3 linked regions of the Sus scrofa genome follow. The protein of the gene in region 2 interacts with the protein of the main gene of each other region in a biochemical or structural test. Links are inferred from orthologs where the notes say so. Each region holds a gene or a part of one and is shown on either strand. Other genes may lie near its edges. The genes, in order: ACVR1, BMP7 and BMPR1B.

Evidence for each region.
Region 1: the proteins of BMP7 (region 2) and ACVR1 form a complex in vitro, tested with the Homo sapiens proteins (2 studies listed by BioGRID). The link is inferred for Sus scrofa from reciprocal best matches to the Homo sapiens genes BMP7 and ACVR1.
Region 3: the proteins of BMP7 (region 2) and BMPR1B form a complex in vitro, tested with the Homo sapiens proteins (2 studies listed by BioGRID). The link is inferred for Sus scrofa from reciprocal best matches to the Homo sapiens genes BMP7 and BMPR1B.

What each region holds. Positions count from the first base shown.
Region 1 is NC_010457.5:64,789,534-64,793,188, forward strand, and holds part of ACVR1 (activin receptor type-1), read right to left. Parts: intron 2,969-3,655; coding exon 2,757-2,968; intron 1-2,756. UniProt on the Homo sapiens protein: Bone morphogenetic protein (BMP) type I receptor that is involved in a wide variety of biological processes, including bone, heart, cartilage, nervous, and reproductive system development and regulation.
Region 2 is NC_010459.5:57,586,294-57,589,088, forward strand, and holds the end of BMP7 (bone morphogenetic protein 7 precursor), read right to left. Parts: intron 679-2,795; coding exon 529-678; downstream 1-528. UniProt on the Homo sapiens protein: Growth factor of the TGF-beta superfamily that plays important role in various biological processes, including embryogenesis, hematopoiesis, neurogenesis and skeletal morphogenesis.
Region 3 is NC_010450.4:124,559,476-124,563,130, forward strand, and holds part of BMPR1B (bone morphogenetic protein receptor type-1B), read right to left. Parts: intron 2,829-3,655; coding exon 2,636-2,828; intron 1,805-2,635; coding exon 1,507-1,804; intron 1,367-1,506; coding exon of another isoform or gene 1,153-1,366; exon of another isoform or gene 1-1,152. UniProt on the Homo sapiens protein: On ligand binding, forms a receptor complex consisting of two type II and two type I transmembrane serine/threonine kinases.

The sequences.
Region 1 (3,655 bases), on a different chromosome or scaffold from region 2:
TGGATGGAGGTTGCCTTTTAGGTAGGCGAGGGACAAAAGAGTCACAAAATTAACATCTCTATGTAATATGCCAATTACCCACAAAGCAGAGAGAGAAAAAAAGTTATCTTCCATTAAAACAGAAAACCCATGCTCCAAATCTACTTCTCAAAATGCAAAAAAAGATTTGCAATTAGTTCATTCATAAATTTTCCCTCCTTACTCTCAGTGCAAGCCAAGAAGCAGAAGCCTTTTTGAATCAGGAATGGATTATCTATATAAACAGTATCGTGCCCATGGTGACTGTGGCAAGGTTGCAGTAATGTTGAGCTAAAATTCCCCACAGCCTGTCCTTTCCTAAACATTTTAGCTGGCCTGTTAAAGTAATACATTACTGTTTGAATTTCATCTTCTTTTACTCTGAGCACCACTGTGAAGTACTGTTGATCAGCAAAATTACCAAAATCTGAACATCCAAAGGAAGAAATTTAGAATCCTTAAAAGCCGCAAAATGGATAATCAGCAAGAAATTGAATCTAGATGAAGTGGAGTTTCACATCTCCTTAACCATCTCTTTTGCTGTTCATTTTTCTCCTTATTCATTCAATTTTTTAAGAGAATAGTTCTGAAAATTAAACTAATCTGTTGTTTTTTCATAATGTATAATCCTGGTTCTAAACCTAGTTCATAGACTTTGGGGGGATTGTCAACCTAAGACAAACATCAACTTCAACTCTTAGATCTTCTTTTTCAGTGTAGGGGAGCTGGTTAGTAAGGTATGCACTGCTGAGTCATAAAAATGAGCCTATCACTTAAATAGGCAAGTATGTCGACAAATATTAATAACTTGTTTTAAACAGTGTTCTTTACTGTGTCATTTATTGTGACATCGAACATGGTTGAGTTGAGAGGATTATTTTAGCATATATTCCATTCTGCTTTCAAAAACAGAGAAACCATTTAAACAGTAATTGACAATAGACATTCCTATCAGTGCCCAACATAATTAGCTACGTTAGCAGTTCTGAGGCAGAAAACTCTTAACTACTCTATCTCAGAATCATGCTTTCTCGTGATACAGCCTTATGTCTTCCTTGCTACTCATTCAATGTACTCATTTAATTTGCCTTAAAATTTGAAATAAAACTTCTAAGAACCTTTTCAATGCAAATTGTATCTCTCTACTTTTTGAATGAAAGGTCCTCATCTCCTCTTTTCCCAGTTTTGTTATAGCAAAATTTAAATAGGTAAAAGAAAGCTAAACAAGGTCCCCCCCACCTTTTCTTCATACAAAAAAAGTATACTTGACTGTAGTCCAGTGATGGGAAAGCAGTAAGATGGGATATTTCCCAGCCTATATCAGTCACCGTCAAATGTTTTAACAACTCGCCTAGTAGTCCAGGAGCAGTACCTGAGCTGCAAAGACTGGAGAGGACAAGTCTTCTCCAGCAAAAGGGCTGTCTTAGGGCAGGTGCAACTACGGAACTCCCAGACACTCACATTTTTGTCTGGCAAAACAAGACTTAATACAAGATGATCTTAGGTAGATGCAAGGTCATGGCATTAAAAGTTACCACCTTGACCATCTTTCAGTTCATCAGATTATGACCAGGAGAGTCTCGATTTGGTACTGGCATGACTTTAACATCTGTAACCCTGACAAATCTTTGCCTTTTTCAGAGGAGGCATCAACTCAGCATAGTAGCCCTGTAGAATGTTATTACTTTTCCCAGTGGCACTTGATGGTAACTTACTCCTAGCATGTGATTCCCTTTTCTCACCTAGAGTTTAAAGTTGCTTTAAAATTAACACTTGACAAACAATTTTAAAAAGTGAAAAAAGGAAGCCAGTCACTCTTGAATGTGATTTCATCATTTTAAAATGTGCAAATGAGTAACTTTAAAACATAGAGATACAATGGTTTGTAACCCTGTGCTGTGAGCCACATGACCCTTTAGGGTCGCTGTGAGCCACACGCTGACAGTGAGCCAGTAAGATGCAGCTGATCTGAACCGATAGGTGCTATACGTGTAAAATACACAGGAAATTTTGAAAACTCAGTTTTTTTAAAAAAGTTGCAAAATATCTCAGTAATAATTCCTGATAATCGTATGTTGAAATGATAATTATATATATTAGGTTAAGCGCAGTCTTAAAATTAATATTACCTGTGTTTTTAACTTTTTTAAACATGGCTACTAGAAACTTTTAAATTACACATGTGCCACACATATTTCTATTGGACAGCACCAGATTAACCAAATGTCTGCACTCCACAAGGGGGCAGCACAGGAGCATGAAAAATTTAATAGCTGCTTTTTTGGATGTCAGGTTTTAAAGTCTTAAACTACAAGGTGCTGAAATAATCTAGAAGGAAAAATGACTTTTAATATTAAGCAAAAGGGCTTTTTTTGAAAGCACTGTTATTGCTAAAAATAGAGTAACTGAGTACCATAAACTGCAAGCCTCCCAACCTCCAAATTATAGGCAACCATGTCTATCCCCTGTTCCCTTACTAGCAAAAGAGAAATAACTACCAAGAATCAACTAAAAAAATCCACTCCCTCATTTAATGTAAATGTCTAAAATAAACGTTCTCACAGTGGGGTCCCTAAACTAACATGGGTTGCCAGCATATGCTTAGGACATAAGTGACCAGTAGCATGTGTATACAACTGTCCAGTCACCAATTACTGGCTAGCATTTCATGCTTAAAATAAGAAAGCATAATTAGCCATCGCTGTTATGCTTGGGCACCCCTGGGGCCACACACTCACTGCTAAAGTGCTGTCTCCAACATTGGTGGTGATGAGCCCTTCGATGGTGCCGTACTCCACATCTCTGGGATTGAGGCGTTCTTGGTTGCGCCTTTTAAATTTTCGGAGAGCGACTCCCAGTAGGCAGGCTAGAAGACATACTGCGAACACTACAGACAGAATAATGAGGCCAACCTCCAAATGGAAATTCTGTGTTCCAGGAAAGGATTTCCCTGGAGATGGGAGAGAGGAGGGTAATTGGCTATAAGGATCATTGTTGACTTATTACGTAGCATAACCAATACCTAACAAGTAGCTCTTGATCCAAATCACATAGTCTCGTAAGTCACAGAGTGCTAAAACTATAAACTTTCCAACATCTGGCCAACAGCCCAGTCATTCAACCATTATTCATTTAGACACAACAGGAGTTTGAAAAAATTCCACTGAGAACCAACTTATTAATGCATCTATGTGGAAAGTATTTTTAAAATTTAAAGTACTATACAAATCGCTGATACACTCCTTATTAACTTGGACTTGATCTGTAAGGAGTTTTATCATCAAGCCCTTACAGATAAGACATTATGCTGTAATATTCTGATGAGAAGATGCTATCTGAGTTAAGACCAAAATACCCTCTCTGTGGTCTCTCTCTTCAATGTATCTTGGAAGTCTATTGCTGAATTCTTATTCCTCCTTTTAGAGCATGATTCCTGCCTATTCATTCATCTGATAAATAAATAACCCATTTATTCAACATTCGTTCACTCACTCAAAACATTCATTCACTGAGGCACTCACTTAGCTCATCACTCATTCACTCCCTGGCTCAGATATTGTTACATTACCCATTCAAACATTTGTGCATTCACTCATTTCTCACGTCACTTACGCAAACATTCGCAGACTTTCAACTT
Region 2 (2,795 bases):
CGCCGGCCGCAGCTTCTGTTTATGAAATCGGAATAAACCAAGAAATAGGGATAAATTGTTTAGGAAAATATATCTGTAACATCCTAACCATTTTCATTCATTCGTTTTATTGTGACATGTATTACAGGAGCCTCCGCATGAGTCTTCCTCTCGCACAGACACAAACGTGCCCACCCCCAGCCGCACCCTCTTCCTCCCACTGCCGGCGGCCTGGCTGACGGGCGCTCCTCATTACCCCTGGGACGAGTCGGTGCACGGCCGCGATTTCGCAGCCAGGGCTCGTGGCCGGGCGACTTTCCTTTAGCTACATGTCCTGCGGTTGGGTTTCGCCTGCAGCAACTTGTAGGATCTCGTCCGTAGGACGCCGCCGACGAACCACTGATCAAAAGCCACTCGCCTCCCAAATACCCTCACACGCCTGCACCGTTCAGGTTGGGGAGGGGGACAGACGGTCTGGCAAGGCAGCCGCCTTGGTCTGCGGGCTCCTCGCCACGGCGGTGGCCCTGGGTGGCCGGGCCTCGGGCAGGGCTAGTGGCAGCCGCAGGCCCGGACCACCATGTTCCTGTACTTCTTCAGGATGACGTTGGAGCTGTCGTCGAAGTAGAGGACGGAAATGGCGTTGAGCTGAGTCGGGGCGCAGCAAGGCTTGGGCACCGTCTCAGGGTTGATGAAGTGGACCTGGAACACACACCGAAACGTTGGTGGGCTGCGACCGGGCATCGCCTCGGCCTGGCCCCCGCGCGTCTGCTGGGACAAAAGCCACGGAGACAACACGTACCTGGCGCCCCCGGTTCTAAGCACCTGATGGATAACCAGCTCGGCTCCAGGCTTTATCCTTGGATCACACACAGGTGGGAGAACCCACGCACAGGGGTTTACGCAGCCGACAGCTAGCAAGCGGGTGGCCAGGTCCCGCTCTGTCTTGGGGCTGCCCTGTGCACTGTGGGAGGTCTGGCACCCTCGCTGGGCTGCACCCACTCAACGTCAGAGGCACTCGGACCCCGGCTCCCAACCCTGACAACTAAAACTGCCTCCAGACACTGTCAAACATCCCCCAGGAGGCAAAATCGCCCCAAGTCAAGAAGCACGGGGCTGGACCAGGGTTGGCCTACAGGCCGAGCCCTGCCCCGCCGCGTGTTTTTACGAATACAGTTTTATGGGCACACAGCCACACCCATTCATCACCACAGCATCTCCTGCTTCGGCATCGCAACAGCAGAGGCGGACAGCTCAACTGGGGCCGTTGACTCTCAAAGTCGAAAATATTTACTATCCGGCCCTTTTCAGAAAAAGGGTGCTGACCTCTGGGCCAGATCTGTCCTGCCCAAGAAAAACATCAAGCACATCACACAGGCCATTTAATGTGTTTTAGGAGCCACATTTTAAGAGATGGAAAAGAAAGAGGTGCAATTAATTTAAACAATCTATTCGATTGAGCCCCATATTTCAGAAATATTATCATTTCAACATATACTTAACCTCAGATATCACTAATGAGATATTTTATCTTTCTTTTTTGTTCTAAGTCTTCCAAACCCAGCTGCAAAACATCTTGGTTCCGACTGGCCACATGTCAAGTGCTCAAGAACCACACATTAAAAGTGGACAGCACTGGAGGGTGCAAGTCTAGACTACACGAGACGATTCTGCTTCTTGAGGAATAAAAATAAGAGGAAGAGAATTTCGGCAAACACTTGGGTGCACATCAGCAAGGAAGGAGAAGGTCCAGAAGCTAAGAATGAAGAAAGAGGAGTTCCCATCGTGGCTCAGTGGTTAACGAATCTGACTAGGAACCACGAGGTTGTGGGTTTGATCCCTGGCCTTGCTCAGTGGGTTAAGGATCCGGCATTGCCGGGAGCTTGGTGTGGGTTGCAGACGCAGCTCCTGTGGCTTGTATCCTGCGTTGCTGTGGCTGTGGCCTAGGCCGGTGGCTACAGCTCTGATTAGACCCCCTAGCCTGGGAACCTCCATATGCCACGGGTGTGGCCCTAGAAAAGACAAAAAATAAAAATAAATTAAAAAAAAAAAAAAGAATGGAGAAAGATGCCAGCCGGTTGCCCAGGTTTATTACTCCTTCTTGCTCAAGGGCTTCTGTGCACCTTCCGGAGGGTGAGGGTTGGAGGGAAACAAATTCAAATGCCGGCAGGGGCCACACGAGTGCCACTGATGACCACACTCAGTCAGGAGTCAGACAATAGGGGAGAGTGAGGAGTGGGGCAAACTAAAAGGAGACGGCCACTGCTGCCCACAGCCACCCAAGGCAGTGCCATCGGATGCGCCGAGGGTTCAGGACAGGCTGGCAGTTCAGCCCTGTTTTGTTTTTATGTGAAACTTCCAGGTTCCCAACACAGCGTGTGGACCGAGTGGAAACGCCACAGATGACCGCCTGCACTCCAGCCCCAGTCGGCGACCTCTCATGCCAGCCGGCACCCTTCTCAGATGGTTTTGGGGACAATTTCAAACCTTACAAGTCTAAACCTTCCCCCACATGCTCCGGCCTCGGATCATTTTACAGTAAACCCCAGATGTTAGCTCATTTCTTCTCTATTTCACTCGGATTCTCGGGAAGGCAAGGACTCAGATATGACCCTCGAGTTCCTGTCATGGCGCAGCAGAAACGAATCTGACTCGCATCTGTGAGGACGCAGGTTCAATCCCTGGCCTGGCTCAGTGGGTCAAGGATCCCGCATTGCCATGAGCTGTGGTGTAGGTCGCACACATGGCTTGGATCTGGCGTGGCTGTGGCTGTGGCGTAGGCCAGCAGCTGCAGCTCCGAGTGGACCCCCAGCCTGGGA
Region 3 (3,655 bases), on a different chromosome or scaffold from region 2:
GAGAGAGGCAGGGGGGTTGGGTGGTCAGGTAGATAAAAGCATGCTAAAAACACGTGAAGGTGTGACCAAGTGGAAGGTGTTCAGAACAGGAACTACATTTTAACCCAAAGCCAGAGGGTACTATGATATGATGATGCCAAAAAGATGCTTCAAGAGAAAACATCTGGCAGTATCATGTAGGGAAAGAAAAAAAAAAAAGAAACAGAAAAAGTCAAAGAGGAAAGAACTACAAAGTGCTTTTCTCCAGAATCTAGAAAAATGGTAAAGACGACTCACCAGGCCCAGTTCCAAGCGAGCAACATGGAGACAGAACACATTCAACTGAGCAAGTTGGAAACTCGGGCAACAGAGGAAACGCCAGGTGCTCACATTTTAGAATATGGATCAACCCAAACTGGGAACCAGGAAGAAAACGCAGAGAGAGCACAAAATCTAGAGGTGGGCAAATATGTAAGGAACAGAGAGCAGAACCCATAGAGAGAAAGGAGAACCTGGAATAAAGGTACATCAGGAACCCAGGAGGAAGAGGTGTGGGAACTGCAGAGAGCAGGGTGACAGTAAGATGGGCTTCTGATGACAAAGTGCAGGGTGCCCTCAGTAAAGCAGCTTCAGGGGAGAGGGGAACAGAAGCTCCCATTACAGAATACTATGAATTACGGGACCAAGGAAGCAGATCACTCTTTGGAACTCTTGGGAAATTTAACAGCAGAGGAAAGGACAGAGGCTGGTAATCTGAGCAGCATCACGGGAAATTTTTTGGGTAGAGGCGACCAGAAAAAGGTTGTAAGTCAGAAAAAAGAATTCAGAAGAGAAAGAGGATTTAGTAGCCTGCATTGGCAGGGGGGTTCACATTTCTAACTTATATCTCTAGTCCCAAGCATTCCCTCCAGCTTTGTTTTTAAAGACTGAGCATTTCAATTTGCCGTCGTCTAAATGGTGAAAACCTCCATATATTGGAGGCCTATTATGATATCAGCCCTCTGTCTTCACTTTTGGGTGAAAATGCCAATCCATTAAGTCCTTTCTCCCAAGTTTCCTTCCTTGCCACGGCTTTTTCTTTGCGCCCCTCTCTGTATCTTGCAGGGCCTTCTTTAGAAACAAATCCGTCAGAGGGTCCGACCATTTAATAAAGGCTCAGCCTAAGTGGAGATTTTAAAGTAAGTATATGATGATCCTTCTGTACCTGTGATTTGCAAACTCATTTGCTTTTGTTTTCAAAGGAGAAAAACCATTTCTTCTAATGAAATCACCTACAAGGTAAAAGAAGCTACTGTCTTGAAGCCAGGTCACTGATGAGTTTAGAGACTGTGGGACCGACCCGACCAAACACTTTATTGGTTGCAAAGAAAACGTTCCTTCTTTTTCCCTGCAAAGAAAAGTCGAAATGAATAAAAAAAATTCCTCCTCTGCTGAATATCCTAGAAGCCCTGAGCTATAAAATGCATCATCTATAAAAAATGATAGAAAAGAACCATAAAAAGTGTATGTGTTCACCTTGATACTAACCTAATAAATTTGACAGCCAGACCCAGGTCAGCTATACAGCAAGTTCCATTTTTCTTCACCAGGATGTTCTTACTTTTCAGATCTCGATGGGCAATTGCCGGTTTGCCTTGAGTACTGAAGATTTCGGTGTGTAAGTGACATAGGCCACTGACAGAAGAGTAAGCTAACTTCAGCATGGATTTAGTATCCAGGGTGGTGGACTTCAGGTAATCATAGAGGGAGCCGTTTTCATGATAATCTGTGATGAGGTACAGCTGGGTCCAGGAGCCCGTCCCTTTGATGTCTGCAGCAATGAAGCCTACGAGGGAAAAAGCCAGTAAGGTTCGGAGCTCCTTGTTTGCTGAGTACTAGAAGGATAATTCATATTTGCAACTGCCATTCTTCGCCATAGGTGTCTTTTGTATGACGTTTCATTCAGGTTTCTGATTGTGCCTTTGACACTATCGAAATGCCTCATACCAATCAGAGACCGTCAAAACAGGAGGGGTAGAGAAACACTGAGAGGCTGTATCTGAAAACAGGATCCTTTTTCCTAATCGGTAATCGGTATTTAAGTATCTCTAAGTGAACACTAAATAGTTCATGGTATTATAGTTACACACAAGACACTGTTTATAAAACAAGCACATCCTCCCGTGATGAGCTTGCAGTCTTTCTGCTTGGATGATTCAGCCAGATCACCTCTAACTGGAGACAATGAAAAGGAAATCAATTTTCAATGTAAACTCGGGATATAAATAAACCCTGCAGGTAAAATTCCCCTAACTTTTCACAACAAAATTTTAACAAAAACGTGCACCTTCAAATCCCTAAGAAACCATAAGAAATTCTGGTGTTCCATTTGCATTTCCTGTCCCTGAAGGGAAAAAAAAAAAGAAAAAAAACTGCTTTGAGCACCTTCCACTCCCAGCCCACATTCATTCGCAGACGTGCCTTAGTCATTCCTCCTGTGAGGGCTCCCATAAGAAGCGTATGACGTTCTTGGGCTCATGCCAAGAAGAAAAACGTCTGTATATTTCATCAGGGGTCTAGACTGATGAGTTAAGATGCAGATGTTAACAGAAAAAAAAAAAAAAAAAGCGAGGAAAGCTAGGAAACCCTGAACATTGCAATACAGCCTCTTACTCACCCAAAATGTTTTCATGCCTCATCAACACTGTCTGATATATTTCTGTCTCTCGGAACCAGCTGGCTTCCTCCGTGGTGAAGAACACTTTCACAGCTACCTTTTCGCCACGCCACCTTCCCATCCAAACTTCCCCATAGCGACCTTTTCCAATCTGTTTCACCATCTGAATCTGCTTAGCTATAGTCCTCTGGACCTGTTAAATCCCAAAACACACTGTTAGTGTATTCACAGCACGACAGATTTGTTGAATCTTTTTTTTTCCCCTCCAGAGAAGAAACAATGATTACATGTAAAATATAGTTAGCCTGTAGCTTTTCTTTATATGGATAAGTTATCTGCCCTTATTTATTAATTTCTTCTATCCGCTTTTAAATCTACTTGCGGATGACTGCAGATTTTGAGTGTTTGATACTGCTTCTGAGTTATTAAGTGTTTCATTCTACCTATTACTATTTGTATAGAGACAAAAAATCTGACTGGGTTCATGGTAATGGGCAGGTTAGAATACTTTTCACTTGTACCGCCATAGTGGGTTCTAGATACTCCTGAGGGAATCATGCCATTATATGCTTGGATAAGATACAACAAAAGCGTAAAGCACTGTTGGACACATAGAAATAAAGGAAATTTCCAAGCAGGAAGGGGTGGAAAGAAGGCGTAAAAGAGGAAGGAAAAAATGAGACTAGAGCAGGGGTAGATAAGCATGCAGGATATATACAAAAGCCAGGTTGCTGTCTGAGCCACGAATAATACCAGCATAAACTGAGATCTAGAACATGAACTTTGATCCCTTTAAAAGTAGACAAACTGAACCTGGAGCTTTCGCATTAAGCTGGAACCACTGAATGGTACAACATCTGCCTTAGCTTGGTAGCACACCATCACCATGGCGCCCAGAAAAACACAAATACGAATCCTCTCTTGAGAAAAAGCACTTGGAGAACCCTTTTCATTCCACCACTGTGGTGAGATTCCAGATACTCTGAAGGAGCTCTTGCTGCCATACGTACAACCTGACCA